3 linked regions of the Alligator mississippiensis genome follow. The protein of the gene in region 1 binds, or shares a complex with, the protein of each later gene. Links are inferred from orthologs where the notes say so. Each region holds a gene or a part of one and is shown on either strand. Other genes may lie near its edges. The genes, in order: FNIP1, LAMTOR2 and LAMTOR4.

Evidence for each region.
Region 2: FNIP1 (region 1) and LAMTOR2 share a complex: the UniProt entries of both Homo sapiens proteins name them as parts of the lysosomal folliculin complex. The link is inferred for Alligator mississippiensis from reciprocal best matches to the Homo sapiens genes FNIP1 and LAMTOR2.
Region 3: FNIP1 (region 1) and LAMTOR4 share a complex: the UniProt entries of both Homo sapiens proteins name them as parts of the lysosomal folliculin complex. The link is inferred for Alligator mississippiensis from reciprocal best matches to the Homo sapiens genes FNIP1 and LAMTOR4.

Annotation. Positions count from the first base shown.
Region 1 is NC_081832.1:68,196,485-68,204,170, forward strand, and holds the start of FNIP1 (folliculin-interacting protein 1), read left to right. Parts: upstream 1-4,592; 5' UTR 4,593-4,675; coding exon 4,676-4,764; intron 4,765-7,686. UniProt on the Homo sapiens protein: Binding partner of the GTPase-activating protein FLCN: involved in the cellular response to amino acid availability by regulating the non-canonical mTORC1 signaling cascade controlling the MiT/TFE factors TFEB and TFE3.
Region 2 is NC_081838.1:17,227,767-17,235,789, forward strand, and holds the start of LAMTOR2 (ragulator complex protein LAMTOR2), read left to right. Parts: upstream 1-5,018; 5' UTR 5,019-5,101; coding exon 5,102-5,103; intron 5,104-5,837; coding exon 5,838-5,930; intron 5,931-7,273; coding exon 7,274-7,436; intron 7,437-8,023. Other genes in the region: UBQLN4 (ubiquilin-4), read right to left, coding at 1-23, 208-470, 571-782, 3,503-3,654, 4,334-4,465. UniProt on the Homo sapiens protein: As part of the Ragulator complex it is involved in amino acid sensing and activation of mTORC1, a signaling complex promoting cell growth in response to growth factors, energy levels, and amino acids.
Region 3 is NC_081838.1:23,516,279-23,524,122, reverse strand, and holds the start of LAMTOR4 (ragulator complex protein LAMTOR4), read left to right. Parts: upstream 1-4,766; 5' UTR 4,767-4,808; coding exon 4,809-4,850; exon of another isoform or gene 4,851-4,880; intron 4,881-5,420; exon of another isoform or gene 5,421-5,686; intron 5,687-7,844. Other genes in the region: MBLAC1 (metallo-beta-lactamase domain-containing protein 1), read left to right, coding at 1,886-1,951, 2,148-2,332, 2,464-2,653, 2,767-2,781. UniProt on the Homo sapiens protein: As part of the Ragulator complex it is involved in amino acid sensing and activation of mTORC1, a signaling complex promoting cell growth in response to growth factors, energy levels, and amino acids.

The sequences.
Region 1 (7,686 bases):
ATGTCTAAATAAAAAGGTTAAAATGAAGCCACTGTAAAAGTTGTTTCCCACTGAAGAATGTGTTCCATTACTGCATGTGATAGCTTTCTGTGCTGAGACCAGTTCCCATTATGCTAGCTGCTACAAATCATAAGTTCCTTTTTTAAAAAAAACCAACAAATTGTACACATGGGAAGATTTGAACAACTGGTAAGTTTAGTTAGTCTGGCTCCTTAACTGAATTCTACATTTTGTTTCAGCTATGCATCTGGTAAGACTTGCAGGGCAACGCATTTCACCATACTTTATTTTTCATACTAACTTGTTTTTTGAAGTAATGTGATGTCCCAGAGCTGCAGTCAAAAACGAGGACCCCATTGTGCCAGGCATTTCACAAACCCTAAATAAAAGATGTTCAAAGAAGTTACCAGTGCAAGTACGAAACAAGAGAAAACAGACCGATAGAGACTGACAACAGAAGACAAGCAGTAGTTATAGTACATCAAAGGCCTATGCATTGCCCAGTTTTTTTGCAGGCTTTGCTGTAAAAGAGAGTAGAGAGAGAACATTGAGCCTGTCTATGAGGAGCTCTTCCAGGCATGAAGAATACTGTGAGAGAAAATATGAATGTGCTTGCATGAAAATCAAGCAAGTCAATGATGGGGCCAACATCAAAGGCCAACTGGAAGCGAGAGTCAACCTCTCAGCACAGAATGAGATGGGGACAGACTGGGATTTGTGCCTGGAATGGGCAGGCAAATAACATGTGTTTGCAATCAAGAATGTAATCTCATGCAAATGTCATTAGAAGCAAAAGAATGAGTGAACTACAGTGTTGAGAGAAGTTTTGTAGGCAGCCCTACTCTCTAAGGCTGGAGATACCAGCATAAAATTTGACAGAATACACACACAAAATTGTCCAATAGCGCAGTTTCTTGTTATGGGCAGTCACTCATTTGCCTGGAATTTGCAGGACTGGGGAAGGGAGAGGGATTTGGGACTGTTTAGCCCAGAAAAGAGAAGGCTTTGGGGGGATTTGGTGACGGCTTACAAATATATCGGCAGAGAGCATCAGGGGCGATGCGAACAACTATTCACCAAAGCGCCCCAGGGGAAAACCAGGAGCAATAGTCACGCACTCCTAGAAGAAGATTTCAGACTGGATATAAGGAAAAACTTCTTCGTGATTCATGTGACCAGACTCTGAAATAGACTCTCAATGGGGGTGGGTGCAGGCGCCTACCTTGGAGATCTTCAAAAGGAGACTGGATGCACAGGTTGGTGGGTTATTACATCTGTCAGCCTTTCCTCGTAAGGCTTGCTCTTTAGGCCTCTAATCGGATGAATGGCTCTTCTCTGCCTGCCCAGAGCAGGGGGCTGGACCCGATGATCTCACAAGGTCCCTTTCAGCCCGAAACTTCTGTGAATCTGTGATTGAAATTTTTCTTTTCCCTCCATATAGTTGCACTTCTGTAATAATCTCCTTCTTTCCTTGACTCTAATGGAGAGTTTTATTACAAGCAGTCAGTTGCCAGGCCAGCTGTTTCTGTGCCCAGAGATGGAAATTCTCTGCATGCAACAATGTCTGCTCTTGTTCTGTTTGGTTTTTGTCAGAGATTAGGCATTTCCCCATTTTTTTTTTTATTTTTTTTTTTTGCCTTCTGGTAAAAGTGACTGCATTAAATTTCAGTGGAAGTGGAAAGTTGTTCTTCAGTACCAGTGGGTAAAGGTTATAGGTCACAGTCTTACATGGATACTGCTTAACAGATTAACTGAGCATCAGTTCTTATTCAGTGAAGTTAATGAGATGGCTTCATAAATTTTGGCCTTAAATATCTCTCTGAATTAATGTAGTGGAGCCATTTCAGATGAGTCATGTAAGAACTACACTAAAATGATTGAATTGCTGGAAAATGTGTATTTTAACTATTTTTACTAATATAACATATACTAGATATGTTTGGCCTAATACTTATTAGATCTTTATAAGCAAACTAGCTAATTGTCCATCAAGAATGATGGGTTTCAGAGAGTGTTTATATGGCCCCCCATCACCCCTGCTCACCCTTTGGGGCTGGCCATGTAAAAACTCCCGCCACCGCGTTCTCCTCCAGCCTCTGACACGGGGGCTCCCTCCCCCACCCATCTCTGCCTTGCAGAGTGGCTTCTCCCTGCTCCCCTCCTTCCCTCCCCGTCGCCTTTCTCTCCCTGCCGGCTGTTATGGGGGCAGGGGGGGGCGCTACCACTGTGACCCCTCTTCCCTTCTCGCTTCCCTCCCTCCCTCCCTTCCCTGACAACAGCCACCACCATGACCCTCCCCTTTGCCTCCCCCTGCCCCATGCCTGCCTGGGCCCACACAGCCTCTCTCCCTCCCCCCCATCCCTGCCAGCTATTGTCAGGGCCCCCTTCCTGCTCCCCTTCCTTCAATATTAGAATTGAAGGCAAGATGATTCTTATAATCTAAAAATTAAATTACAAAGAACTGGTTTTGATTATAGGTATTCACAGATGGAAGGAAAAGTTCTTCTCCCCCTCCCCCCGCATTATTTCTTTGAGTATTATGGGGTCTTTGTGCCACCAACTTTTATATGTAATAAAGCTTATTGTGTATAGGTGGATATTTCCTTATAGTCCTCTAAAGGCTGAGGATATCTGAGGCCGCAAACCTGTATGCATGTCTGAATGGACAGAACCAGTGAAGTCAAGAGCCGTTGTCTGGGTGTGGCAGTTTGCCTACAGGTAGCTACTTATAAAAGAGAGACCTTTATTAGACTTAATCTTTCTTTAGCAATCTTCAGTGATCTTAGGAAGGGCCCACTGAAGCAATTTTTAGTTTGCAGAGGAGGTGAGATGCAAAATTAGTTTTAAATGACGGCAGGTGCTGCTCCTGAGCCCCTCTGTGGGGTTTCACAAGGATTTTTGGAAATATTAATATGTGTGTGTGTGTATTACTCTCTCTCTATAATACACACACACAGATTTGTATAATTATATACACATTATATATACATATGTATGTGTATGTATAATTATACAAATGTTAATGTATATATACTACATATAGTATATATGTATACTTGTACATAGTATATATGTATATATATTTCCATGTTCATGTATATTCAAGTCTGTCTAATTTAGTTGGTCTAATAAAAGATCTCACATTTACCCAAGCCAGACAAGTTTCTTTGTGTAAATCTGAGATCTTTTATTAGACCAACTCAGATACTTGGAAGAAGTCTTCTTTGCAAACTTTCAGGTACAAACACCCTTCGTCAGGCTGAGAAAGCAGTCGTTCTGTGCTTTTCCTGGATGACATTTTACCCGAAGAACTTTGTCTGCCTATATTCAAGTCTATATTTTCACATGTATACACACATCTACGTATATATCTATATACAGGTTTCCCTCACTTTATGCTGTACATGCGTTCCGGGAAAACGGCGCTTAACTTGAATTCACATATAGGGAACCTACTTTACAATGTAACACATAGGGATATGCTCCAAGACATCAATTGTACTGGCCCCCGGACCCATTTCTACCACTTTTACAAGACCATTTTGGTACTCACCAACAGCAGACAGTGCACACAAGCACAAGGGGGTGGTGAATGTTCATTTAGTGTGAAGAGAGGATGGTGAAGGCTTCATTGATGGACCAGGGAGAGGGGTAGGAAATAAGCTAGTGTATGGGTGACTAGTGCCTCCCGAGTCTGGGGTGGGCGCCAGTGGGTCACAACTGGGGGGGGGGGGGTCCCCCAGCAGCCAGCTGGTGACTGGGGGAGGGGGTGGTATCCTAGCAGCTGGTCACTGAGTGCACCGGTGGCAGAAGTGCCAGCACTTCCACATGTGGCACAGTGGTGGTGGAAGTGCCGGCACTTCTCCTGCCAGCATTTCCGCCGCTGACATGCTGCCGGCAAAGCCAAATTCAGGAGGAACACGAGCACTCTCCATGCCCCGCTACTAGCCGGAGCAGTTGCTGTCAGGGGGGGCATGTGCCCTCCCGGCAACTACAGAAGTGCGTGCGGCAGATGATCAAGGAGCACAGACGTGGGCGACCGGTCCCTCCCGAGTCTGGGGGGGGAGCACCAGATGGCCAATGGGGGAGGGTCCCGCCGCAGCCAATCCCCCAGTGGCTGAGTGCAAAACCACCAGCGGCAAAACTGGACGTGCACTTCTGGTTGTGCAGCCGGCGCCCGTGCACCCTCCGCGCCTCACCTAGGAGCGCACATCCACGCAGGAGACGCAATTTTGGTGCACCTCACCCAAAGCAACTACTGCAGGCCTCCACCTCACCCCTAAGACTATAAAAATGTTTGGTATAAAAAGCCTCCTGGCGTGAGAGCGAATCGGCACGTCCATACACACAGACAGACAGGCTCCTATTCACGCAGCCCGGCAGGCCTCGGGGTGGCGCAGACACGGCGCCTGGGGGGAGGCGAGGGGCGCGCGCACCCCACAAGCAGCGGCGGCGGCGGCAGCACCTGGCTGAGTGCGGACGCCCCTTTCCCGCGCTGGGAGGCGGGGGCGGGGCCTGTGGGGTTGGGGGCGTGGCCCCTCCCCTCGGCCCCGCCTCGCCTCCCGCTGGCAGCGCCGAGTGACTCAGGCTCGTCATATGACCGCGGCCCCGAATGGAGTCGGGCTTGCCGGAGTAGCCGCCACCGCCGCCGCCCCGGGGTCGGGCGCGTCCCGCCATGTCCCCCACGCTCTTCCAGAAGCTCTTCAGCAAGAAGCTGGGGCCGGGCCCGCCCGCCCGCGACCCCCGCGACGACTGTATCTTCAGGTACCGCTGCCCCCCTCGTCCGCCGCCGGGTCTCGGCTCCCCCGCCCCGGGGATGCGCCTCCCGTGAGGGGCCGTGCAGGCGCCATTCCTGGGGCCGGGGGCGGCTGTCCGGGCTGAGCCCCCTCAGGAGGCTGAGGGAAGGGGGGAGAAACCTCCCTGCTCCTGCAGGGGCTCGGCGCTTCCTTACCCGCCCTGAAGTGCAAAGGCAGGCTGTGACCTAAAAAAAACCACTCCCGAGATGAGTTGAAAAGATGGCTCAGGGAAAAAAAGTTTTTTCTTCGCAGGGCTCCCCTCCCAGAGCAGAGCCGAGCCCAGCCGCGCGAGGAAAATAGCAGAGGGACGCCTAGAAAACTTTTTTGCAGTTGACTGTCGTTTTGTAACCAAGCAAAACATCTTTTTTTTTTCCTTTCTCTTTGTGGCGTGGGTAACCCGTGCCGGTTCTGGGGCGTGGGAACATCTCCTCCCCGGTTGATCGTGGTCTCTTTTCCGACTTGCGTTCTCTGAGGTGAGGCAGGGTGAGCGGCTGTAACCGCGGGTGAGCAGGAGGCTGGAGTGATTTCTTTTTGAATCATACCATGTTGCTCTAGTTGCTTCAGCACCTCGCAGTTTTTTCACCGTCAAGCAAATCCGCTGTTTTCCTATAGTCTTACAAAAGTTGGTGGGAAATGTTGGAAATAACGTAGGATCGATTGCAATGGCTGTCAGCCTGTAGCCGACTTTCTGGCCTCTTGGGCGGGGGCTGCACCCCGTGATATTAGGAGGTCCCTTGCAGACCTAACGCCTATGAAATCTACCTTGAAGGGAGTTTGTCGTAGCGGCCAAAGCATCTCCATGCCGTTTTTCCTTCAGAGGGGTTCCCATCCTTTACTGACTTGCTGGATGGGCCACAATACCTTGTTAAAAGAAGTGGCTTGGTGTCACTCTCATACCTGGCACCTGAGTTGGTCAGCTGGGAAAAGGCCGTTTCTTGCTCTGCCAACACACTTCTTAGTGATAAACATTTTATTATGTAGTGTATAACTCACCAGCTTTCGTCCCTACTGCAGGGGAAGGTGACAGTTGTATGTATTTATAAGGAAGACGCCTGAGTGTAACATTTATCTTATGCTCTTTTCTTTTTTGTTAACAGAAAGTTATTTTATTTTTTTGTTTGCTTTTGGGATTTTTTGGGGTTTGTTTGTTTTTTACCCAAACTAGATACGCATCTTAAAAATGACCCTTGCTCCTTTTTCCCCCTCAAATACAATTACGGATGTTTACATGCATATATGAAAGATCAGATGCTCAGGTTAAGTTGTATTTCTAACATACCATTAAATAGAAAAGCATGGGCTATATGGAGTGTCAAAAGGTATCCTGCTGGCCACTTACTAATATAATACTTTATTAAAATATACGTCGCAATAATAAAACTTTTAACAGGCCTGCGGTAAAGAATGCCATGAAAGAAAAAAAATCTCATCGTTGTAGGGAGTGCAAAGACCTTTTGTCTCTTGAAGGATGCTTGAAGTTCCTGTAAGCTGTAAATGGAGGAAATGGATACTTTTAAGTAACGCCTAAGCTGCAGATATTGCACGTGTGCAGAATTGGACCCGTTTTTTCAAATGAGAACTTTGGTTTCTTCTAATATGGGCCAACTGACCATGAACTTAGATATCTAGCTTGTCCTCAATTTTTTTCCCTCCTTTTTTAGTATGTTGACATGAAATTACTATGAAAGAGAAGGATGGTTTTGTGGTTAAAGTACCAGTAGGCAGGAGATCTGGGTTTTATTTGAGTGAGGCATTATTAGTACTAGTTATCATTTTGCTGCAGATATCCATTATACAAGGTGTTTAATTTATTCCATAGGTAATAAGGACATGGCAAGGATTGATAAATACATGCAACTTATGAAGAATGTGGTACAGAAGGAAAAGTTTCAATACGTAGCTGTGATCTTTGTATTAACAAGAGTGGGAGATTGGCTTTTATAATGCTAGGGGCCTACTCAATGAGATGCTTGCCTTTGAGTTTAATGGGAAGAGAGTAAGAGCCCTAAATCTTTACTGGGTTCCTATGCAAGTGGCCCAACTTTTCAAAAACATTTGGCCTCCATCAGTGCCCATCAGCATCACTATTGAAAAAAACAGACCATATGGTTAAGAGAGCAACTTGGGCAACTGTTTGAAAAGGTATCTTGGGCTGGATGTGCTTGAGGGTTGAGATGAAGTTACTGCAGTTTGGGTCTTTTAAAAAAAAAATGTACAACAGACAGTTAAAGAGAACGTTTAAGAGTGATTCTGGTGGGAAGGTACGGGATGCAGTAACTGCTCTGTGGCTTTGGAGTTGCTTAGTACAAGTTACTCATTCTTTCTTGGCTATGTATAGATTTTGCATCTGAGTCAGCCTTGCAGATAAGTTATGAAAATTTAGCGGTGAAGGTACAAATTCTGCTTGCTTTTATGTCCAATATCTTAATTATACCAATATTTTACTTGCTTGTCTCGTGCCAGAAAAGTTTATTTACTGTGACTGAGTATAATTTTGCAAGGCTGATTTAAATCAAACTGTGGGAAGAGCTTCAGAACTGAGTGCGAACAGCAGTTTAAGAGATTTGCGTCCGATAATGAGGCGCCCATAAATTACTAGGTTAGGGCCTGATCCTTTAAGTGGTTCCACACATGAGCAGCTTCACTTACACAAGTGGTTGTATTGTCATCCATTATTGGCATGCATAATGCAGCTATTTTAATGTCGGTACGTGAGGTACTTTACACATGAGAGTGCCTCTCAGCTCCTTGGACTCCTTTAGAAATTGTAGCTGAGATAAACTGGAGAAATGAGAGCAGTGTAGAACGCAGCGCGTGGTTGTTATATTCCTATTATTGGAAAAGTTTTGACAGATTTTGGGGATCATAGATTTTAAATTGATATGCGTCA
Region 2 (8,023 bases), on another chromosome or scaffold:
GGGTTGCGAGCCAGCTCCATCGTCTGTGGGAGGAGAGTTTGGGAAGATCAGGGCAGTTTGCACCATAAAAGACTCCAGCACGCGTTGTTATGGGCTAAACGGCTCGGTAGCATCCTAGAGACAAGCACTGAAATGGTGAAAGCTCAGTCTCAGGCCCACAGGGAAGGATTCAGAGGCAGGTTTCTGGACCTCGACCCTCTCACCCACCTGCCTCATCAGCTCTGGGTTGTTCAGCATGTGGCTGATCTCAGGGTTCCTCTCCATGAGCTGCTGCATTTGGGGATTGGCCATGATCATCTGCCTCATCAGGTCAGGATTAGACATCATGTTCTGCACCAGGGGGTTCTCCATGATCTGGGATAGCATCTCCGGGTTAGACATCAGCTGCCGTTGCATCTGCTGCTGGAGCTCCATGAAGTTGGCGGAGCCCATCCCGAGGTTGCCGAGGCCAGTGATGCCTCCAAAACCCGCTGGAGAGAGACAGACTATCAGGACAAGCACTTTCAGCTGGGAAAAAGAGGGATGCATAGGCTGAACTATACGGGCAGAGAAACCAACCACATCACTCACAGAGGATGGATGCAGGGTTGCTGGGTGCTCCATTTCCAGCACCCCCCGTGGTCCCCGACCCACTGCTCCGCCGGCTGCCACCTCCCCCATCGGAGCCGGCGCTGCTGGACGTGGAAGGCTGAGATGGGGCAGCAGGAGAGGCGGGTGTTGCAGCAGGGGTGGAGGCAGCAGCAGAAGTAGCAGAGGCAGCAGCAGCTGAAGGATCTGGAACCCTAAAGAGAGAAGAGACAGTCACCGCTGCGGCAGGGAAACTCACACAGCCGGTTCCCTTCTGCAGTTCAAGAAAAGAAGCTGGGAGTGACCACCTCCGGTCAAGGGGGATGTAGAGCCATCACATCCAAAACAACCTGCTCTCACCCAAGGCAATGAGAAGAGAAGCGATGTTGGTATATACTTAACTCAGTCAACGCACCTCAGAGAAGACTGGTCCCTAAGCAGGCACTGACTTTTGTGTTATATATCAAAAAAGCAACTAGTTGGTTACCAGCATTCTTGACCCATTTGACTGCACCATGTATAACAGGCTTTTACACCACATATAACAGAGATGGGCTTTCCTCTGTGGCTGCAGGGAACAGGACTAGGAACAATGGCCTTAAGCTGCAACAGGGCAAGTTAGGCTGGAGATGAGGAGGAATTTTTTGACTTGGAGGGTGGTCAAGCACTGGAACAGGCACCTAGAGAGGTGGGGGAGTCTCCATCCCTGGGAATGTTTAAGGGCAAGTTGGACAGACACTGGGCTGGGATGGCTGAGTCTTGCTGGGGTTATTTGACCCCAGTGGTCTTTCCTGCCAAGAACAGGAGGACTGGACCCAATGATCTCACGAGGTCCCTTCCAGCCCTAAACTTCTGTGAATATGAGTCAGGGCTGATCCTGCCTTGAGCAGGGGGCTTGACTAGATGACCGTATAAGGTCCCTTCCAGCTTGACTTTCTCATGTTCTTTTCTCTTCAACCAACAGGGCATATTATAAGTAGAAATGGGAGAGAAGCAAGGCCCTGATGCTGCAGAAACTTGCACCCAAGCTTAGTCAGATCCATGAGCAAGCTTGTTAAGGTTAAGAGGACACACCCACACTGGCAGGGTGAGAAGCCATTTGCTACCACAGCTGTTCTAGCTTTGCTAGTTTCCCTTCCTCATTTCTCTCTCTCACACAGCAATGGGAGGGAAAGGACACTTTAAAACCCAAAAGCAGTTAAAGTCCCAATCCCCAATGGGAAGGTGGGCATGAGCCCTGGAACTACCAGCAACTCATCTGAAAAAGGGGGCTACAGTGCATATCAATGCCATTATGAATGTGGAACCATCAGGTGGTTTGCAAATGATGCCCCCTTCCCATAAACTGGCCATTCAACCACAAAGAAGGGTTAATACCTTCCTTGCCCGCTCGGCAAGAGAACCTGCTGCCCCCAGTACCTGAACAGACTGCAGGGAGGTAGCTCCTTGCACTGAGCAGAAAGGAAGGCTGACTGCCTTTCTAAAAGGAGAGACAAAAACCTTATGGGAAAGCTGTGAGTGCGGGGGGAAAGCAATGAGACTGGGAAAGGAGAATCTGCAGAGGTGGCCCTTAAAGGGGTTGAAACTGCAGATGGGCAGTGTCTTGGAAAGAAATCACAGCTGGCCAGCTGCTTTGAAAGCCTTTCTCCCCTTGCAGCCTGCCGAGATCTCTCTGCCATCCACCTCCATTCGCTCAGCCTCCCCTCCAAAAGCAGCTGAAATAGAGCATGCCTAGCCAGCTGCTGTGAGATGCTTGCCCTAGGAAAAATACTTCAGAATAACTACCCAGGGAGCAGGCTTGCGGCTACCGGGAGCACAGAAATTGTTGGATGAGGATTTTTTTGCCTCCATGGAACTTTCCATGGCAATTTTTAATCCCAAGCATTTTACAAACTAATTTCGCTGCTACCACAGCAGCGGCTGCAGTCAGGGAGACTGGGGAGAAGCCAAGCAGATGGGAAATAGGAAGTTTAATAAAGAAAAAAAAAGAAGAAAGATCAGGGTCACTTGGACTCTCTCAGCACAGGAAGGAAAGGCTGCGATGCACACATGCTGGTGACCATTAGAAAGACAAAAATGAATGATGGGCCAGTTTTTAGTTTACCCCAGGAGACAGTTTGCAAGTGCTGAAGTTTATCGCGGAGACAGCGGGAAGCAGCATGGCATCAGCACGCTCCGTGCACAGGTACTGTTCTGTACAAAAGCCTCCAACAGTAGCTGACAATTCGTGTGGCTTCAGAAAAGAGGTACTGATTTTTAATAAGCCAGGGAGGAGGCGCTCCTGGTGGGGGACAACACAGCTTCAAAAGGAGCGTGAGCCTGTTTAATGACGCCCACTGCTCAGATGGAAAGACGAGTCCCAGGAATGGTGGGAAAGGGCCGTTAGGAACAAGGAGGCCTGCTTGCATCTGTAACGCGGCAACGGCACCAGGAATCATTAGACAACTATAACTTAAGAGTCACCCAGCAGCAGCTTTCCAGTATGTTGATCTACACCCCATGTCTCTGGTCTGCCTGAAAGGTTACCCCCAAAAACGTCGTTACGTGCTCTTGATAATACCCTACACTCACTGAACGCCTCTTGCTGAAAGATCTCCCAGCGCACAGGACGGCCGGACCCCGCAGCCACGGGGACCCTGGAGCGCAAGGTTTTGGCTTCACATGGCTGTGAGCAAGTGAAATAATCTCCATATCCGCCCTGTCACCCGGAGAAATCCCTGCTTTAATAGGTTCTTACACGCAACAACTAATACTCGTAAGATTTCAAAGCACGTCAACTCTGCAAAGCTTTATGAAACCCAGGAGCCCGGGAGCCAAGACCCAATTAGAGCAAAGTCCCGCAGCCCCCCGAATTTGAACTCGTACGCTTGACGGCCAGGAACTCACAAACACGCGGCGTCATTTCCTAAAACCCCGGGAAAGGACGATTTCTTACTTCTGTGGGGTCTTAATCACCAAGTGCACAGTCAGTCCATCTTTGATCCCGTGTTGGCTCAACGTGTCTCCATCCTTCAGGATCTTCCCCGCAAAGATCAGAACCAGCTGATCCTGTTTGGCTTTAAACCGCCTGGAGATTTCTTCTTTGAACTAGGGACAAAGACAAAAGGAGGCAATTCTCAGGCCGAGGCGCTTTCCAGTCTGCCCGAGAGGCTACAGGAGCGCTGGGAACAAGCCTTCGCGCGGTCCGAAGGACACCGGGCAGCATCCCCGGGGCCGAGCTGGTTTCTGAGGTGGTTCAGGGGGCGACGGTGCATCCTTCGCCCGTTCGGCTCGTGCAGGCGAGCTTTGCAAGAGCAGAGCGCAACGGCCTTAACGTGAAAAGCAGCTACGCCGAGGATTACGGGCCCCGTTTACACCGGATCATCGCCGCTGGCCGGCACCGCAGAAAGCATGCCGGAGCGAAGCAGGCGGCCCCGTTTCTGGCTCCGACTCCCACGAGGACGCTCGGGTTTTGAGCCGACGGCCTCGCGGCGCCGCGGGAGGACCATCCCGTCCGCGGGAGGCTGCCCCGGCTCGGCACGTCCGCCCGTGAAGACGCGGCTCCGAGGACAGGCCCGGCTCCGCCTCGTCCACACGCGCCCGCCTGGCCATGCGCCGCTCGCCCCCGCGCCCCCCCGGCCCGAGCCCCGCGTCCTGGCTCGGCGCCCCCGCCCCCAACCCGGCCACGGCCTGCTCGCGGGGCGACCCCCCCGCCCGGGGCAAAACCTCCCGCGCGGCCCTGGCCCTACCCCCGCCCCCGCCTCAGGGCCCCGGGCCCAGGCCGCACCTCGCGCACGGAGGCGCCGTCGCCGATGACGATCTCCTCCTTGTCCTTGGGGGTCTTCACCGTGACGCGGATCAGCGCCGCACCCGGCCCCGGCTCCGCGCCCTCCGCGCCGGGCCCGCTCGGCTCCGCCATCTTGGCCGCCCGCCCCGGCCCGGCCCGGCCCCGCCCCCCGCCCAGGAGAGCGGCCCCCGGCGGCGCGGGGGGGGGCGCGGGGAGCTCGGCGCCCCCTGGCGGCGCGGCGGGGAACTGCGGGCGAGGGGAGGTGGAGTGGAGGGGCTTGGTGGGGAGACTGAGGCTGTGCATGCCCCTTGCGGGGGGAACTGAGACACACTGTGTGTGTGCATGGGGGTATGCATGCATCTGGGTGGGGAAACTGAGGCACGCTGTGTGCAGGGGGTATGCATGCCCCTGGGGGGAGAGGCGTGCTGGATGTGGGGAAGGGTATGCATGGCCCTTGGTGACTGTCTTGAGCTCCATGAGCCCCCCTCCCCTCTCAATCCTCGCAACTCTGCTCCGTAAGTGACACAGGGGAAACTGAGGCACGGAGAAGCTGCTCTGAAAAAGGGGCTAGCTTCTGGGTAGCCAGGGGCTGATTGTCCCTAAGGGCTGCCAGCTGGAGAGCTCACACCCACCCACCGCCCCTTCCCCAGGCTCAAGGCGGTTGCAAAGGAGCTGTAAAATGCTGCAGCCAGGCCGGAGGGAAGCTGACCTGGATGTGGGGATTAATCAGAGCATTCATTTCTCTGTTTTCACATCACCAGCTCCCAAATGTAAGTAGCGGTGGGGTGCGAAGGGGGTTGATCTCATGGCTGTTTGGGAGCGTCTGTGCTGGAGATGCAGCCGTGTTGTGCCTGCCATGGGGTTAAAGCAGGATTTTGGTCTTGTTAAGATAGAAATATATATTTCAGTGTATGTGTGCCTATCTATCTATCTTGCTCCTGACCCTCAGCCCCTGCCCACCCCCAGGCCATGCTGGTGCCTCTCACTCCCAACCCGCAGCCCCCTAGCGCTGCCTCCAATTGCCCTTCGCCTGCTCCTCCCAGCCCCAAACAGCTCCTTGCTGGGAAGTGCCAAGGGGGAAAAAAAAAATGATGCTGAGTAGAGCAAAATCCCAGATATTTGTTCATATTTTTAAAAAACTGCCTGGACAGAGGACCCAAAACGAGGACGTGTCTGGGAAAACCCGGACATATGGTAACTCTAAGCAATGTTTCTGCTTTTTAAAAAGGGAAACTGAACTGAGCTGGCAGGGCTGGGGGGTGGACAGCAAGATCTTTGTGTGGGCCATGTGCCTAGCTCCTGTCCTGGAGGTTGCCTGCAGCTGCCTTGCAAGCCTGAGTTGCTGGCAGGGCCATGCAATGCCTGCGCCTGTCGCATGTGGGCCTGACTCGGCAGAAGCCAGGCCAGGACTACAGCTCCCAGGCTGCTCCGGGCGCCCAGGGGCCATCAGCTGATGGGGAAGCAGAGCTCAGAGCTGTCTGCCTTCCTCTCCTCCCTGCTGCAGGGCCAAGAGCCGTGCGGTGGTGACCATGCTGCGCCCCAAAGCCCTCACCCAGGTGCTGAGCCAGGCCAACACCGGGGGGGTCCAGAGCACCCTGTGAGTATGGGGGAGTCGGGGGGTGGCTGGATGAAAGGGGTCTCCAAAGCCTGGGGCACAGCTCAGTACCTCTGAGCCTCCTTCCTCTGTACTCTTCCTAATTCAGGATAGAAACAGGCACCACTTGGTTTCCATCCCTGCCAGGAGCCATATAATGCAGCCTAGTGTGCCGTAAAAAGCAGTAATCCAGCCTAGCCCCTAAATCCTGTCTTCTCCCTGCCCAGGGGGGCTGGGGCACTAGCTTGCAGGACTAGCTGCATTGATGTGCCTGTGCATGGTTTGCTGAAGTGCAACCAGGCTCGTTCCAGCTCTGCCCGTTCTTGCATGCATTGACGTGAGACACTGCTAAGGGCACAGGCAGACAAGTTTCTTTAGGTAAATTTGATTTATTGATTGATTTTTATTATTCAACCAGTTAAATGCTTGGAAAAAATTTGTTTTTGCAAGCTTTTGGGTATAAACACCCTTCTTCAGAAGCTCGCAAAGAACAATTTTTCCAACTATTTCGTTGGCCAAATAAAAGATAACACGTTTACCCAAAGAACCTTGTCTGCCTATGTCCTTAGACCGACACGGCTACAACCAACAGCCTTAAAGCTAAGGGCATAGGAATCTTTTCCCACCTCCCCAGTTGCACCCCAGAGCCAAAGATGCCTTGGCTTCCTTGCATTTCAAGGTTGCTGCAACAGGCAGGAAGAAAACATACCATCAGGGGCGCGGGTCCTGGAGCTGGTGAGGTTGCCTGGAGCTGGGTAGATGCCGATCTTCTTTATGGCTAAGAGCCCCAGCTGGACAAAGCCTCAGCTGGGATGATGTAGTTGGGGCTGGTCCTGCTTTCAGCAGGGACATGGACCAGATGTAACCTCCTGAGGTCCCTTCCCACCCTCTTTTTTTTTATAATGTAAACCCCAAGGCTTCTGTAGCTTTTATGTAGGATGCCTGCCTGGATTTGGGGAGCTTCTGAAGCCCCAGACCGATAGGTCCAGGAAGGAGGACACTTGCCCAGTGGTAGAGTCACGCAGACTTGACAATTGAGCTTTGCTCAGTTGAATCTTGATACTTGATTATTGGGCTTTCACGATTGAATTTGGAAAGGATTCGGCCTTGAATAATAATAATAAGACGGTGATCTTCTTTCACACATGGGGTGATGCACTTACAGCTGAAGGTATAACCTGCCTGGGTGGTATTGTGTTAAAGGGAGGGGAGGGTGCTGGTTACTTCCCTCTTGGGGTGGAGGGGTCACACTTGGGATACTTGTGACTTTGGAGAGGCTGCGTGGGACCCTGGGGGCTGTGCATATGGGGGTTCAAGTCTGTCTCCTCCCTGCATCTCCTTTCCAGGCTTCTGAACAACGAGGGCTCGCTGCTGGCATATTCTGGTTACGGAGACACAGACGCCAGGGTCACAGCTGCCATCGCCAGCAACATCTGGGTGGCCTATGACAAGAATGGGCACCAGGCTTTCAATGAAGACAATTTGAAGTTCATCCTGATGGACTGCATGGTACCTGGGTTGGGGGTGGGGGTGTCGGTGGACTCCTGGCAGGAAGGTGGGATAAACCCAGGCAGCTTGAACATGAGATCCTGGCACCCAGTGGGTGGCTTCTTCCTGCCTTGGTTTCTCCCATCTGTAAAATGGGTCTGGTATGTGCCTTGTTGTGGGGACCAGTGAGCTTTATTCAAGTGTTTTGAGATCTCCCTGATGGAAATGCTAATTGTTGGGAAGTAGAACATCAAAACAGGGGAGCACTTTGCACCTGCCACTTGGAGTAAAGGGTGTGGGTGTGTAAACATCAGCTAAAACAAGGCCCAGGCTTACAAGTGTGACCTGACTTTGGCATAGCGTAAAGGACTGCATACAGGCAGTAGCAGCATCGAGCACTCTTCATCCGTAGACCTCAAACCACTTGACAGGCCAGCCTCAGTCTTGCAGATTGAGGGGAAACTGAGGCACAGAAAGGGGAAGGGCCTGGTTGGGCTGCTTTGCAGGCCCTTCTCAAAACAGGAGTAAAATCTGAGTCGAGGGCCCTTAACCCCTCTGCCACGCTATCTTCCCAACGACTCCTTGGTATCTTGATGAGGGAGAGCAGG
Region 3 (7,844 bases), on another chromosome or scaffold:
CAGACCATGCTGGCAACCTCAACCTCTTCCCTGCGGCCGAGCTGCTCGTGGGCTTCGACCGCAGCGCGCCAGGCGCTGACCAGTACCTGCCTGTGGGGCTGGTGGAGGGTCGGCCGCATGCCCTGGACCCTGGGCACGTGGAAGTGGTGGCCACACCGGGCCACGTGGCCGCCCACACCAGTGTGGTGGTGCGGGGCACAATGCTGGGCACTGTGGTGGTGGCTGGGGACCTGTTCGAGCGGCATGGGGATGAGGATTCCTGGCAAGGGCTGAGCGAGGACCCAGCGCGGCAGGAGCACAGCCGCCAGTGGGTGCTCGGCTTCGCCGATGTGGTGGTACCTGGACATGGTGCCCCCTTCCGTGTACTGCGGGGGGATGGGGGGGGTGCCAAAGAGCCTGGGGGGGCAGAGGGGTGATGGCAGAAGGACCCAGGCATCTGGGCCCCCAGCCCCTCTGCTCTCACCCCCCAGGTGTCTGAGCGGCAAATAAACACCATAGAATTGAGCTGTTCTGCCTCTCTTGGGGGGGGGGGGGGGGAGGGCTGCGGTGCAGCACTGAGGTGGGGGAGGGCTGTGGTCGGCAGCAGGGTCTCTGTGAGGGTACTGAGGGGAGGGGGTGGGTGGCGATGGGAGGGTCCCTCCCAGGCTGGGAATGGAGGAGCCAGAGTGGGGAGAGAACCCAGGCATCCGGGGCTGCTTCGGTGCCAAAAGGGCTGGGGGCCTCCAGGACTCCTGAGGGGGTTGGGGTTGACCTAGGGACACAGACACAAGCATGATAGTGAGGGCTAGGCCACACGCATGTGTCCTGGACCTGTGGGGCCCACATGTGTGTCTGTGCCACCAGGTTGGGGCATGTCCTGGACGCCTGCGTTCTGCATGTGCAGATAGCACCCCCCCACCCCCTGGGCCTGGGGGCAGGGTTCAAGGGGCTGCTCCACCCTGTAACCAGGACCTGAGCAGACCCAGATGCCTGGGTTCCACAGGAAACCCCTGGTCCCTGCCCCAATCGATCGAGCCAAGGCCTTGATGGCAGGTCACAGCTCAAGGCCACAGCACCTGGAGCTCCTAGACCCCGGACTCCTGGGTTCTCTGGGGTGGGAGGGGCTGAGGAGTGAGAGCAGGGGGCTGGAGACCTGGATGCCTGGGCTCTCTGGGAGCAGCTGGTGGGGGGGGTGCCCAGGCCCCAGCCCCTGGGTTGTCTGTGGGTGCCTCCTCCCTACCTGTTCCCCCTGGTCCACAAGTTGAACCCAGGGCTGTAGGGCAAAGGTGGCATTTATGGGGCCTTAGCCCTGAGAACAGAAAAGCTTGTTAAATAATCAGTGTCATAACTTGTGTTGTCTACCCCCCTTGCACCCCCCGCCAATCAGGAACCCAGGTATGTGGGGTCCCAGCCCCTGCCCCCCCAGGTATCTAGGCCCCTCTACTCTCACCCTCCAACCCCTCCCCTCCCACAGAACCCAGGCATCTGAGCCTGGGGGAGCCTCCCTTCATAGCCCCCCGCCCCCGCAGTTGCTATCTTGCCCGTGGGGCAAACTCCAGGAGCAGCCACACCCGCCCCCAACCTATATATTCCGCAGCCCCAGCAGGCCCCGCAGCCACCATGTGCCCCGGGGCCTGTTCGCGGGTGTTGGGAGCCGCGCTCTGTCCCCTGGCTGTACTCTGCGCCATCTGCAATGTGCTGCTCTTCTTCCCCAACTGGGAGACCCAGTTTGTGCATGGCGGTGGCGCCCACCTCACCCCGGAGGTGATGTACATGGGTGGCCTTGTTGGCGGCGGCCTGTTGGTACGAGGGACGCTGGGCAGATGGGGAGGGACTGGGAGCTAAGCCAGGGGATGCGGGGTGCAGGCCAGACCAGGGTCTTTGCCCTTCTCTCTTCTCCTTCCAGATTGTGATCACCGCCATCCACTTCCAGGCAGCTGGGCATCGGGGCTGCTGCGGGAACCGCTGCGGGGTGAGAGACCCCTGCCCTAAATCAAGGGGCTGGGGTTTGGGTGTGAGGGGCACCAGCAGGGTGGGGGAGGGGCTGCAGGTCAGGAGTGAGGGATACTGGGGGCGCAGGGGCTGCAGGGCAGGAGTGAGGGGCACCGGATGGCTTGATCCTGATCCTGCCCCCACCCCTGGCTAACAGCCCTCCCCTGCCCCTGCAGATGTTCCTGTCCATGCTGATGGCGGTGCTGGGCATAGGGGGTGCGATCTATGCCATGACGGTGTCGGGGCTGGCACTGGTCCGCGGGCCCCTGTGCCAGTATCTCCTGCCCGAAGGCAACCTCTCAGATTGGGGACGGCCCTTCCAGGGCCCACCCTGGAAGTCCGACGATGATGATGACTTCAGGTTGGGGGGGCGAGGGTTGGGAGTGAGGGGCACCGGTGGGGGGGCTGGAGAGGCAGGGGATGCGGGTCAAGAGTGAGGGGCACTGGCTGGGCTTTGGGGGCCAATCCAGGGTGACCCCCTACCCCCCGCAGGAAGTCGAGCTACCTGTTCCACCCGGAACTCTGGGGGAAATGCCACAACCCGCCGGACGTGGTGAAGTTCAACATCATTCTTTTCTCACTGATCCTGGGGGGAGCCGTGCTGGAGCTGCTGCTCTGCACTGTGCAGTTCTTCAACAGCTGTGCTGGCTGCATCTGTGGCCCCCGGCTCCGCAAGCGCCCTGTGAGTGCCTCTTATTCCCAGCAGGCCCCACCCCAGAGCCAGCCACCCTGCAGGGCTGGCCGCGGGCTGTGACAGGGACAGATGGGGACTCACCTCCTTCCTTTCTCTTTCAGGCGACGCAGCACTGAGGTGCACTGGAGCCGCACCCCCAGCTCCAGACCCACATGGGTACCCAGGCATCCAGGGTCACCCTAAGCACCATGGACCCAGGACGACTTTGGGAAGGGAGTACGGGGAGGGGGTCCTGCTGTACCTTGCTTGTGGCTCCAATAAAGCCCAGGACAGGGCCAAGGGTCGTGTGGTGCCTGTGGAGAACGAGGGGGGATTGATGGGGGGTGGGAAGGAAGCTGTGACCTACCCGCTCCCTGACTGGAGCCCCTCACTCCCATCCCGCAGCTGTGCCAGCCCAAGTGGTGCCCCTGACCACCGACCCCCCAGCCCTGCAAATGCCCCTTACTCCCAACCCGCAACCCCCAGCTCAACAAGTGCCCCTCACTCCTGCCCCGCAGCCCCACCTCCATCCCCACCCCCACCAGTGCCCCTCACTCCAGACCTGCAGCCCCACCTCTCCTGCAGCGGGGGGGAGGGGGTGGGCAGGAAGTCACAGCTCAGCTGTTGGCCTGGCTGTGCTGTGTGGCTGTGGCAGTCCTGTCGCCCGCTCTGCCCCGAGCCATTGGCGGGGGGTCACAGAGCTTGGAGCCCCCCGAGGCGGGTAGGTGACTGCGGGGGGAAGTTGGTGGGGGGCATCCCGGACACCTGGGTTCTGTGTGTGCTGTGGGAGAGCAGGGAGCTGCCTCTCTGGGTCCTGTTCAACCCCCACAACTCACCTCCATGGAGCTGGGCTGGGGCAGATGTGGGGGTATCAAGGCTGGAGAAGGGGGCAGTGCCCTAGTGGGACCTGAGCTGAGACCTGAAGGACTCGTTCCATGTACACTTGGGGGATATCAGAGCTACAAGTACCCCCACCAGCTACTGGAATCTCTGGAGAGGGAAGGCCCCTGCCCTGCCCCCCCATGCAGTGCCCCCCAGGACACCTGGATCGGGGCCTGGCAGGGACTGCCCCCCCCCCGCCCCTCCCCCACTGTACAGATCTGGTGACAGGAACTCTTTATCAGCCCCACTCAGCAGTAACGACGGCGGCCTGTGGTGGCCTGTGGCTACAGGAAGGGAACCCAGGCATTTGGGTGCCCAGCCCCCCCTGCTCTCACCCCTCAGCCACTGCTGTCCTAGAGAACCCAGGCATCTGGGCTTCCCACTCTGATGTGCAAGACTCCACTTCTTCCCCTTTGAAACTGGAACTAAAGGATAGGAGCTGGGTCCTCTCCCTGCTGTCTAAGAGGGGATAAGGGATGGCTGTGAGAGAAGTGGGGGCTGGGAGCCCAGACGCCTGGGTTCTGCAAGGGGCTGGGCTTAGAACAAAGCCTGGGAGCCCAAACACCTACAGCTGGATTTAAGACAAGGCCTCGCTTCCACACAACCCCAATTATATTGCCGAGGGGCAAGGCACACACCTCAGCTGCCTCTTCCTGGGTGGGGGCTATAAAGGGGCGGCCCTGGGGGCAGGAAAGACTCATTAAAGGTAGAAGTTTTGACCTGGGACCAGTAGGTTACTGGGAGAACTGGGAAGGGGGCTGTGGGTTGGGAGCAAGGGGCACTGGCAGGGCTGGGGGGGCAGTCCAGGGGGGTCCCCATTGTCTCGAATCCCCCCCCCCCACTCCAGGCCCCGCGATGGCTGCAGATCCTGAAGACAGCTCCGTGCCGCTGTTGCGGGACCCTGAGGATTCCCCTGTGACCCTTGCCCTGACCTGTAAGTGCCCCCTGTCCCCCCTGGCTGACCCCTGCCCCAGGCTCCTCCTGACCCTGTGTCTCTTCCAGGCCTGGGGAAGCTGGTGCTGTCGGCGCTCCCGGTCGCCTGTGTTGCGGTTGGTGAGTCCAAACCCCTCAATGGGGCAGTGCAGATCCCCCCTTCTGCCCCCTCACTGACCCCACGCTCCCCCAGGGGCTGTGTACCTGCGGCAGTGTCCCTGCCAGCCCCTGGTGCCCGTTTACCTGCTGGGCATGGGGGTCGTGGCCCTGCTGAGCCTGATGCTGACCTGCCTGCCCTGTGGCGATGGGGCTGAGCCGCCCCCAGTGAAGCCTGGAGTCTGGGGCTGCCATGCGCTCTTCCTCCTCTTCCTCTTCGCCTGGTTCATCGCTGGTGAGTCACAGGCCCAGATGCCTGAGTCCACTGGGGAGAGAGGGAGTGGGATGTTTTGACCTTTGATCTCTCAGTGGCAGCCCTCTCATAGGGCTGCTTGTATACCAGGCCCCTCTAGCTTGCATTTCCCACCTCTCCAGCAGTGACCTCTGACCTCTTGTGGCCTTCCCTGACCCGTTACCTGCATCTTCCTAGCTAGCTGTGACCCCTCAAAGTCCCCCCTAGCAATAACTTCTGATCCTTTCTAGACCCCCATCTCAATGTTCTAGCTAGCTGTGACCCCCTTGATTTCCCCCCTAGCAGTAACCCCTGACCCCTTCCTGACCTCCAGAGCTGGGTATGACCCCGTCGCACTTCCCAGTTCCTATCTAGTTGTGACCCCTTGAAATTCTCTCTAGAAATGACCCCTTCCCAGTTGGGTGTGACCCCTGACTCCCCACCTACATCTTCCCAGCTAGCTGTGACTTTGTGAACTGCCCCCAGCAGTGACCTCTGGCCCCACCCCAGGCAGCCTGACTCTGCCCCTGCATGACCACTGACCCTTGCCCTCCCATGACCTCTACCCCACAGGCAACGTGTGGGTATACTCCATCTACCCACCGGAGTACGTAGCCATTGGGAACCCACACTTTTGCCACCGTGGCCTCTACCTCTTTGCCTTCTGGCTGACCACGGGTGCCTACATCGCGCTGGGCCTGGCGCTGCTGCTGGCCCTTGGAGCCACTGCCTGCCTCCTGCTGCTGCGCACTCGCCTGCCCTGGGCCCGCCACGCCGACTACCCCTAGGGGGTCAGGGATTGCTGGTCACTGTGTGCAGAAAATGGGACCAATAAATCAGTAAGAAGCCTAGGCCTCTGAGGCAGTATCCCCTAGGGCTCCCATGCGTTTGCCCACACTCCCATGATCCCCTGGGGTAGCAGCCCCCCTCGTCAACCTAACAAAACCCTGTTAAAGGGTGTCTGCAGGTCCCCCTGCACCCGGGTCTGGGGGAGGCAGGGTCCCGAGTATGTACCAGTGGCATCCACGTCCACGATAATCCCCTGCAGTGCCACAGGGGCTGGGACCGCGGCAGGTGGCAGGGAAGGAGAAGAGGGGTGAGAGGTGCCTGAGGGCAAAGAGCCCCCAGCCCAGTGCTGCTCTAGGAGGTCTTGGGGGTCCTAGTGCAGCTTGCACAGGCTATGTACTGAGGGCCAAATCTGGCAACACGACACAGCCATGGGGCTCCCATTCTGGTGGCACCACAGGGCAGCAGGGCCTCGCTGCAGGGGGCACCGGCCACCTGCCTAGAGGACAACTCCGCCTCCAGCACTGCTTCCAGGGCCATGGGGCTGGGGTGCCTGTGACGGTTAGTGCCCATGGGCCCTGCTGCATCCTGCAGGAGACAATGGGGGTCACAGGGTTGCTGGGCACTGGGACCCTCCAAGCACCAAAGGCCAAGGAAACCCAGGCATCCAGTCTGCCAGCTCTCACCCCTGCAGCCTCCCCTCACCCCCTCCCACACAGCTCAGGTTTCCGGGCTCCCAGACACTCATCCCCCAGCCACCACTCCCTGGCCAGGAGACCCCTGGCCCCAGGAGTCTGGGTGACAAAACCTGGCAGTTTCCCATAACTCGGGCACTGTGGATAGGATCTGACACAGGCGCCACCCTTGTTAAGAGGAGCTGTGGCAGGCAGGGTTGTCCCTCGGGGAGGGCGAATCGGGGTGACCACCCTGGGTCCCGCGCTTTGGGGGGCCCCGCAGAGCTGGGTGGAGCAGTGGTGGCGTAGAGTCGGGCGGAGTGGTGGCTCCGTGTCCAGTCATTTGCTATCCCCTGCTGCTGCTGTAGCTTCTGCTGGGCCTGGGCCAGAGTGGGGGTGGGTCCCTGCATGGGCTGATTTCCCGTGGGCCCCACACCCTGTTTGGGTCGCCTCTGGTGGCAGGATGTGCCGGGCCAGGCTGGGCTGGACTTTCCTATTCCACTTTTTCCCACTCCCTCGTGCACACGCAGCCCTCTGTCTCGTGGCACGTCGACCTCTCCATACGACACGACACTGTTCTGCAGCACCTCCAGCAGCAATGCGCTTTTTGTAGAAAACACTGGGTAAATCGAGACTCCCTGATGAGAGATTTCAATCCCAAATTAAATCATAATTTCAATGGATTTGATCAAATCCATCCTGCCGGTGCAGGGGACAACACAAGCACCTGGGACCCTTCACGCATGGGGAGAGAACCTAGGCATCTGGGCCCCCCACAGACCCCATACCCCTTCCCCCCACAGGCTGATGGCCAGACGCCGGTGTCTGCGCTGCCAGGCTGTGCCCCTGCCTGCGTACGCCCTGTGGCTGCACCACTTGTCAGTGACGTTTTCGGCTGCACCTAACAAAAATAGTCGATGATGTTAATCTTCCTTGTAGCGGTGCCGATGAGGCACAGCCGATGCCCTTGCACAGCTCGAGCCCCTTTCCCAGGCCTGGGAGGGGGTCTGCGGCTGGGTTCCCGCGGGTTGGAACAGGAGAGCGGGGGGGAGGAGTGAAAGTCCCCCGGCTGCGCTCCCATGATGCCCTGGGGCTCCTGTGCCCTTAGCTGCACTCCCAGAATGCCCTGGGGCAGGAGTCCTACTTACCCACACTCCCATCATCCCCAGAGGCAGGAAGCTGCCTTGGCTGCATTCCTGTGATTTAGCTGCATTCCCATGATGCCCCGAGACAGGAGCCCCCCTTGCTTGCACTCCCATGATCCTCTGCGGCAGGAGCCCCCTTGCCCGTACTCCCATGATGCCCTGCAGCTGAAGCCCCCTTACTCGCACTTCCAAGATACCCCAGGACAGGAGCCCCCCCCCAGCTCCTTGCCTGCCCTCCCGTGATGCCCTGCGGCAGGAGCTCCCATGCCCGCACTCCCGTGATCCTCTACGGCAGGAGCCCCCTTGCCCGCACTCCCATGATGCCCCGCGGCCGAGCCCTGCCCCCAGAACCCGGAAGCGGCTGCGCGTCCGGGCCCCGCCCCCCAGGAGGA